Linked DNA regions of Coturnix japonica. The protein of the gene in region 1 interacts with the protein of each later gene in a biochemical or structural test. Links are inferred from orthologs where the notes say so. Each region holds a gene or a part of one and is shown in the gene's direction. Other genes may lie near its edges.

What was found.
Region 2: the proteins of RNF4 (region 1) and UBE2W form a complex in vitro, tested with the Homo sapiens proteins (2 studies listed by BioGRID). The link is inferred for Coturnix japonica from reciprocal best matches to the Homo sapiens genes RNF4 and UBE2W.

What each region holds. Positions count from the first base shown.
Region 1 is NC_029519.1:74,944,546-74,948,356, reverse strand, and holds part of RNF4 (E3 ubiquitin-protein ligase RNF4), read left to right. Parts: intron 1-10; exon of another isoform or gene 11-87; intron 88-114; 5' UTR 115-223; coding exon of another isoform or gene 224-226; 5' UTR 227-273; coding exon 274-282; intron 283-768; coding exon 769-889; intron 890-1,639; coding exon 1,640-1,719; intron 1,720-2,912; coding exon 2,913-2,922; intron 2,923-3,811. UniProt on the Homo sapiens protein: E3 ubiquitin-protein ligase which binds polysumoylated chains covalently attached to proteins and mediates 'Lys-6'-, 'Lys-11'-, 'Lys-48'- and 'Lys-63'-linked polyubiquitination of those substrates and their subsequent targeting to the proteasome for degradation.
Region 2 is NC_029517.1:106,949,329-106,953,870, reverse strand, and holds the start of UBE2W (ubiquitin-conjugating enzyme E2 W), read left to right. Parts: upstream 1-1,530; 5' UTR 1,531-1,633; coding exon 1,634-1,648; intron 1,649-4,542. UniProt on the Homo sapiens protein: Accepts ubiquitin from the E1 complex and catalyzes its covalent attachment to other proteins.

The sequences.
Region 1 (3,811 bases):
TCCATTCCAGCTCTGGTCAGAAGCTCGTGGCTCAGAACCGACATCCTTAAGTTCGGGTGTGTGTGAGAGAACAAGAATTACAGATAGGTAATCTTCTCTCTTCTTTTCTTATAGGTTTGGAAGAACGTCATTCTAAGATACTGAGAAATCTGGACTTTTTAACAGTGTACTGCCTAAAGAAATATAAGGAATTGAGAATTGTAGCTTCCTTGCGTTTAATTTTATGGTATTTATACCTCTTATTTTTTCTGTAACTCTGTATCAAGAAACACCATGAGTACAGTAAGTATTTTACTGATCAATGCAAAAGTGATTCTTAAAATATATTTATCATATTTATATAAATCTTGGTAACAGTTTACTGTAAATACGCTGCAGCACTAATTTGCCATTTAACTTCATGTTCTGTGATACTCAGAAGTTTCTCATCTGTAGGTGCTATAGCAGCGTTTCAGAAATAACTCAGAGCATGAGTGAAAACTGATGGCATTGATTGGCTGGAAGTTAATACCTGGTGTCATTGTGAGCTCATCTTCCCATGTAGACCTTCAGAATGTAGTGTGGCTTTTTCTTTTGTGATTCAGCTGGTGGGAGACCTGGCATGGAGTCTGCTCCTTGATGAGATCAGTTCAGATAGGAGTCATTTACCGCTGTTATATTTATGCTACAGGCTTCTAGCGGTGTGTTTTGTTTACCTTGATGTTGGAAAGGTGGGGGCTGCATTAGTATTACTCCTAAAGAACGTACTAAGGCTTTCTTCTCTCTTAGACTCCAAGAAAGCGCCGTGGAGGATCAGCTAACTCTAGGCAAGCTCAGAAACGAAGCAGACTGATAGCTTCTACCACAGAGATGGCTTCAGAAGGAGAGCCAATAGAACTGGAAGAAAGTGGTAAGCTTTCTTTTGAACTATATAAGAAAACAGGCTTCTCCTGGAGTGCTGGGAATCCACATAATGTGGTTTTGGCCAGTTTCAAGGTCCTTTGAAGGGGAGTGGAAAGCTACTTATTTAACAAAGGACATAGTATGGAAGCAGTGAACAGCAGCAAGCCTACCGACAGCTGTTTAAGATTGTTACTGGGGTGCAATTGCTAATAGGTGAATTAGGTAAGAAAGGTGCATGTGTGTTGCTCGCACATCCAGTTATCTGGTCCGATGCACTCGGGGTTACTGCAGCTGCCACTTCAGATAACAGCAAACTAAATTTGGAAACTTGCAAGTAAATAAATGGCTTCTTGTGGTTTTGCTATGTATTTGGCTTTTGAAAGTTAGATGAGATGTGATACTGGAACACTTACAGCGCAGGACTGGAAAAGAAATATCCTGTTTGATTCATGTTTTAAAGCGTGATAAACGTTCTCCTATATTAGATGAATGTGTTGCTGTGCACCTCTCACAAGATACTGATATATCAGAAAGCACATGAGGTCAGTTAGTTGTGCACTGCAACTTGCAGAAGCTGTTAATACTGTATATATAGACCGCTGACAGCAAAGCTTGAATGAAAAGTTGAGTATGTTACCAAAGAGAAGAGGGATGGGCAGTGTTGTATGATACCTCAGCCTGTTATACACTGTTATACACTGATGGGTAACTTTACTCCTGTGAGCTCTGATTTGTGTTCTAACATTATGTTTTTAAGCTGGTGAAGAAGTAGTAGATCTCACGTGTGAATCTTCTGATCCTGTAGTAGTTGATCTAACTCACAATGATTCTGTTGTGGTAAGTAGTGACATGCTTATCTAAATGCTGTAGTCAAATGAGTTCTGTGTTCTTGCTGCTGATAGAGTCTAAGGATGAGCTGAAAGTTGGCTTTTCAGTACATGCATTCCTTTGAAATGTGTATTGACCTACATTAAGAGATCTGTGCAATACAAGCAAATGGATACACTCCCTGCAGAAGTAAATTTACTCTGTACAACACTGGGCCTCGGGTCATAGCTTACCAGAGCCTTAGATTTTCAGAAGAAAGGCTTCTTAGTTTGTCTTCTGGCATCTCAGTAGGTAGCCTATGTTAAAGGGTTAAAGTGTGGCTCTTATTTAGCATTTCACAGCTCACATCCAATCCCAGATAGACCTATTAATGTATCTGCATCTGTGACTACCACCTGCAGGTGATGAGCACAGTCTGTTGTAGCTTGTTGCTCCCAGTCTTGGGGTTATATTACCCATCATGGGTCATGTAAGTAAATGCCATTTAAAGCTGAAGGTGTGTTGAATATTTCAAAGAAAAAGGCTGATGATTTAAACAGAAAATCAAAGAAGTAGCAGTAAGTCTTCAGCATGACAAATAGGAAGTGTTCAGGCATCTACAAGTTGCCTGAGCAACTAGGAGCTAGTTAAACTTATAGCAAGTCTTTGAAAATTCACTTTTTTGTTACTGTTGTTATTAAAGCTTGAGCAGTATTTGATCCAGTCTGCAGTGTAGTTAATAACGCTGGTTTGGGGATGCCACTGCTGCCTTGTAGAGCCAAAAACAAGCAGCGGGAATAACAGTTTGTTGCTGAGCCAGTACAAGGGGAATGCTGCAATCCTTATAGCATGGTTTGCGTTGCCCTGGCTTTGGTTCCGCTGAATGTAACAGCGGGTTGGTTTTCTGTTTTTCAGCCTCAATCAAGTTGGGGTACTGAAACTGGGGAGCAGAGAGGAGATTAAGATGGCTCCTAAGCTGCCTCCATTTCCTTCCCTTAGCAGCAAAACCCAAAGTAATCGCTTAATAAACGAGTCACTTCTCTGAAACTATTTTAACATTTTGTTAATCAAGATGACATTGTGGTATCCTAAAATTCTTACTTTGCCTTGTTGTTGGTTTCATAGCTATTCGGGTGCTTGTACATAAAACTTCAGTGCATGCTACAGTTTAACTTTATTTTTCTTTTCCCTCCCATGCTGTATGTGTTGGTTCATCGTTGAAGATCGTTGAAGGTGAGTTTCCATTTTACAAGCATCAAGGAATTGTCCTGAACTTTTCCTTTCCCAACAAACATAAGCAGCATGGGTTGAAACTGCTTTCATGGAAAGACAGAGAGCAGTGCTGTAGTACCTGGCCAGCACCTCAGGGAATGGATTCAATCTATATTTCAGAGTCTCTGTGAAAGCTGATGTGAAGTATCTGAAATAAAAGCCACTGGATGTTCTTAGAATACATTTTTCTTCTCCAGTGCAGAAGTTCCATAAGCATGAAGTCATCAGTCACTTGGGTTAGCCTTTGTAGCAGTGGAATATCTGCTTTGAGTAAGACCTTGTTCAAAGGCCTTATTAACCTGTGTTGCACTGAAGGAAATGAGGTAGAAAGATATCAAAGGTCGTGCTGCTTTCATTATGTAGTCTGACACTCCTCAAATGTAGCACTGATCAGTGCTAACAAGTTGGGTGTTTTCTGCCTCAGGTCTAATTGTAGACAAGGTATAACAAAACTAATCCTTTGCACCTTTCAGACCTTATTCTGATTACAATACCCGAGGTGTGTTAATAAGCTGTTGTCTCGCTCCAATTTAGGAGTGAGGCAAAGGTTCTTTTGATATGTTATGCCCAGCGTGAGATTAAGAAGAAGAGCATTCAAATGTTGATCCGACCAGTTTATTGGAAATGATAGACAGCTGAGGGGATGGGGAAGGGAGAGCGACGAATGCCAAAAGCGTAGGGGAGAGCAGCAGCGGAGTAGCAGGCCGCAGATCGATGAAACGCAGAGAAGATGGTCAGAGTAGCGAGGTCTCAGGAAGTGGAGTCTCGGGCAGCGAGGTCCCTCGGAGCAGAGCCTCGAGCAGCAATCCCAGAAGAGATAATAGGCAGCAGTAGGACAACGGTGGAGGGA
Region 2 (4,542 bases), on another chromosome or scaffold:
TTTCCATTGGGATGGTTTCATTTCCTACTCAAATCGACATACATTCATTTCTGTCATCAGCAAATTCCTCTGAAGCCTATAGGCTCGTTCCTTTCTGCATCTAGCTCATGGAGCAATGATACTCCCTGCCTTCTGTTGGTCCTTTTATTCAGAGCTCTGGAGTTTGTACGCTTGCTTTACCAACAGTAACACTGCTGACACTGAAACAGTTTGGAATCTGATGCCACATTGTGCTGAGCTTTTGTTTTTCTCCACATAGCCGTTCTCAAAGTTGAAAATACATAAAAATATACTGGAAGGTAACACTTAAAGGTGGAAGCAATACCTTGCATCACATCAAATAATGTGAATACAGAAAGTAAGCAGGCTCTCAGATGTCTCAGACCCATCTTTAGTCCTAACCTTAAGGTGGCAGATTGCAAAGGTAAATATAAACAGAACTATTGTTCAGCCATTTACAGAATCACAGAATTATCAAGGTTGGAAAAGACCTGGCAGATCATCCAGTCCAACCATTACCAATACTTCCTGGCTAAATCATATTCCTCAGCACCACATCCAAGCGTTTCTTGAACACTCCCATGGTCAGTGACTCCACCACCTCCCTGGGCAGTGCATTCCAATGCCTGACTACCCTTTCTGAGCAGTAATACTTCCTAATGTCCAGCCTCAATCTCCCCTGGCGCAGCTTAAAACCATTCCCTCTATTCTGTCATTGATTACACGAGAGAAGAGGCCAACCCCCAGCTCACTACAACCTCCCTTCAGGAAATTATAGAGAGCAATAAGGTCTCCCCTGAGCCGCACCCATTAGGCCACCTCCAAAAGGAAAAGCAGGTGCTGCCTGTGGTGGAGGGGTGATCCAAGAGGGGTCTTTGCAGCCTTTCAATACCTGAAGGGAACTTACACCCAGGAGGGGAGTAAACTCTTTGAAAGGGCTGACAATAGCAGGACACGGGGAAATGGTTTTAAGTTAAAAGAGGGAAGATTTAGGTTGGATGTTAGGGGGAAGTTCTTCACTAGGAGAGTGGTTAGGCCCTGGAACAGGCTGCCCAAGGAGGTTGTGGATGCCCCGTCCTTGGAGGTGTTCAAGACCAGGTTGGACGGGGCCCTGGGCAACCTGATCTAGTAAAGGTGTATGTTTGGTGGCCCTGCCAGGCAGGGGGGTTGGAACTACATGATCCTTGAGGTCCCTTCCAACCCGGCTCATTCTGTGATTCTGTGATCACCATCAAGTACAGGCGTGAGGGGGCTCATAATGTCCGTGTTACATCCAGCAAGGCCGGCTGTGAGCAGCCAACCCCCCCTCAGGGGGGGGTCCCCGCTCCCCTGCTCAGCCGGCGTTTCCCAACGGCCTCCGCACGCGCGGCCGCCTCACGGCACCCAGCCGGGCAGCCCCTCCGCCGGCTGCAACCGGAGGCGGCCATCGGCCCGCGCCGGCTCTTCACCCCTCCCACACATCGAGGGCAGCGACACCAAGGACAAAACCCGCCCGCCCTCCTTGCCACAGAGCTCCGGCGCCCGCCCGCCCCGCCTCTTCCCGGCGCATGCGCGGCGGGGAGGGAGACGGGCGCGCGGTGCTGCGTGTGTGAGGGTGCGGGCTGGCGGCGCGGCGGGAGGGGGAGGATCTATCATGGCGTCCATGCAGGTGAGCAGCCTGCGGCGGGGCCGGCTGCGGGGCCGGGAGCCGGAGCGAGACGTCGCCCGAGCGGCGGGAGTTCTCTGAGGGAGCGGTGCGGGTGGTTGAGGGGAGTCCGGCGGTTCCGTATGGAGGGAGCGAGAGGGGTCCGGCGGAGGGGCGAGCTGAGGTGTGAGGCCGGGGCCCGGCTGTGGAGAGGGGAGGCGGGAAGACAGCGGCCCTGTGGGGAGCGAGCTGCTCCGGGAAGGGAGGCCCAGCGGGGATGGCCCCGACCCGGAAAGTCCTCGGAGGTGAGGTGAGGTGAGGGGGGTGGAGGGGAGGCCCCGGTATCGTCTCTGTCCCTTGGTGGGGTTTGGGGAAGCCGAGGGGTTTGCTGGGGGTGGGGGGGACGCAGGGGCAGCCCTTCGAGACCCCGTTAGGTCGGTGATAAGGACGTGGGCAGGGGATCCGTCTGTGTGGGGCTGTGATTGTCGCCGACGGGGGGGCTGCGACAGCGCTCGGACCCGCGTGGCCCCGTTGTCCCCTCTCTGTGTAAAACGAGATCGTGATGCAGCTTCAGTCCTGCGGGCAGCTGGTTTGGCTGGGGTGGATGGATGGGGCCGCTGGAGGTACGGTGCTGTGAAACACCCTGCTGCTTGACAGGTCTTTCCAGCTGAATTATTTATTCATACCTGCTCCGAAGGAGTGAGTCTTAAATAGTAGTTGCAGAAATTGCTCTGCAAGAATGGCTCGCTTTCACTGTGTGCTGTTTGGAGTGGATGGGGATTTACTGTGACGTGCCCAGGACAAAGGATCACTGGGTTTGGTGGCTGTAGCCTCTGTCTATTCTTACCTCACCTGTAACTGCTCTGCTTTACCTTATTTCTTTTCACATTGCATTTAAATGTAGGTGGTTGAATGCTTCTGTTTTCTATCTCCAGTTGCTGTTTCTTTTCTTGTTTTCATTCTGGTAATTTTTTTTTTTTTTGTCGCTGCTAATTGGACAACCCTGGAGTGTAGAAATAATCAGATTAATTGTCCTGATAGCCTGGCTTTAGTATTAGTGAGAGTTAAAATGTCAGAACGGTGAACCTTACGGGGTAAAAATTCTACCGGTGATGTTGAGCGCCATAAAAATAACTGTGTGTCTCTCTGAGTTATTGAGATGAAACGGGATCAAGAACTCGAACGCACTTGAACATACTGTACAGAACGTTCTTGATTTAGCAGTACTTTAGACAGATAGTCTGATGCGTCTTTGATTTATCAGCTTAATCTGGCAGATGCGTTTTTGTCATGCTTTTTTTTTTATGGTTAAACTTCGCGACCTCAAGTGCAGAATTGAGGCAGTCATTCATGAAGCAGAACCTTTTATAAGATTCGGGCTGGACATTAGGAAGTATTACTCCTCAGAAAGGGTAGTCAGGCATTGGAATGCACTGCCCAGGGAGGTGGTGGAGTCTTTGACCATGGGGGTGTTCAAGGAGTGTCTGGATGTTGTGTTGATGAATATGATTTAGCCGGGAAGTATTGGTTATGGTTGGACTAGATGATCTTCTAGGTCTTTTCCAACCTTGATAATTCTGTGATAAAGCGAGAAAGGGAGTTATAAAGGGAGAAAAACAATATAGGGAAGTTACAGTTCTGAAACATGAAGGAGGGAGACGGTCTATGGGCCTCAGTATGGCTGTGCTGTTGTATTTGGCCTATAAAATGACCTTCTGTAGCTTGCATCACCCTTGTTTCCTTTTGATCCCTTTTAAAAAGAGAAATAGTGATTATAAAAAGTGAGGCTGTTTAGGAGGCAGGAATGACAAATATTGGCTCCATAGCGGGTTGTGTGGAGGTTGTTCCCTTCCTGTAAACATGGCTATCGTAGGGCTGATGTTGTAATTGCTTCCGTTTGAGATGTAGTTGCTGTAAGATCATGCTTTAAATTGTGTCCTCTCGTCTCTTGATGAGACAAATTTACGGAGCTCCTTATGTTTGTTTATATCCTGCTATTTGTATAACGTTCTGAAATAATGACTTTTTTCCTTGAATTTTAGGCATTTGCTTACGCTATATTAAAAATCTAGATAAATGGAAAAGAAATTCCTTAGGAACTGTTGTTCTGAGTAAGTGGGAAACCTAGACCTGTGTGCTGTAAAGATGCAAGCTGCCCAATTTGGACCCTTATACTGGTGAACAAGATATGAAGGCTCTGAATTACAGAATCACACAATGACCCGGGTTGGAAGGGACCTCAAGGATCATGTAGTTCCAACCCCCCTGCCTGGCAGGGCCACCAAACATACACATTTACTAGATCAGGTTGCCCAGGGCCCCGTCCAACCTGGCCTTGAAATTGGAATTCTTCCAGCGAAGAACATTTAACAAACAAAGGAAGCTGCTGCGTGTAATTCTAAGTGATTTTTCCATTCGGTGTTATTGAATTAATCGGTGCTAACATTTAATATGCGAGTCTGTGAGCATACTGTTATGGCATCGTCATTGGTATTTCTAATAAGCACGGTCCGTTGGTACTTAGAAGACATTTCAGTCTTGTTTTAAGCTGCCATAATTTTATATAACGATATAATGCTCATGGTGAATTAGACTTTGGTTTTAGGTATTCACCAGAATTTCTGTGATCAGATCAAAGAAATGCAGGCATCCTAGGAAGAAAGCTTTGAAACTGTGTCAGAATCACAGCATTGTAGGGGTTGGAAGGGACCTCTAGAGATCATCGAGTCCAACCCCCCTGCCAAAGCAGGTTTCCTACACCACATCACACAGGTAGGTGTCCAGGCGGGTCTTGAATATCTCCAGAGAAGGAGACTCCACTACCTCCCTGGGCAGCCTGTTCCAGTGCTTGCTGCTTTTTGCCATGGTCAGTGAAGTAACTACTCAACCTGAGTAGCTACTATAGCTCAGTTGATGAG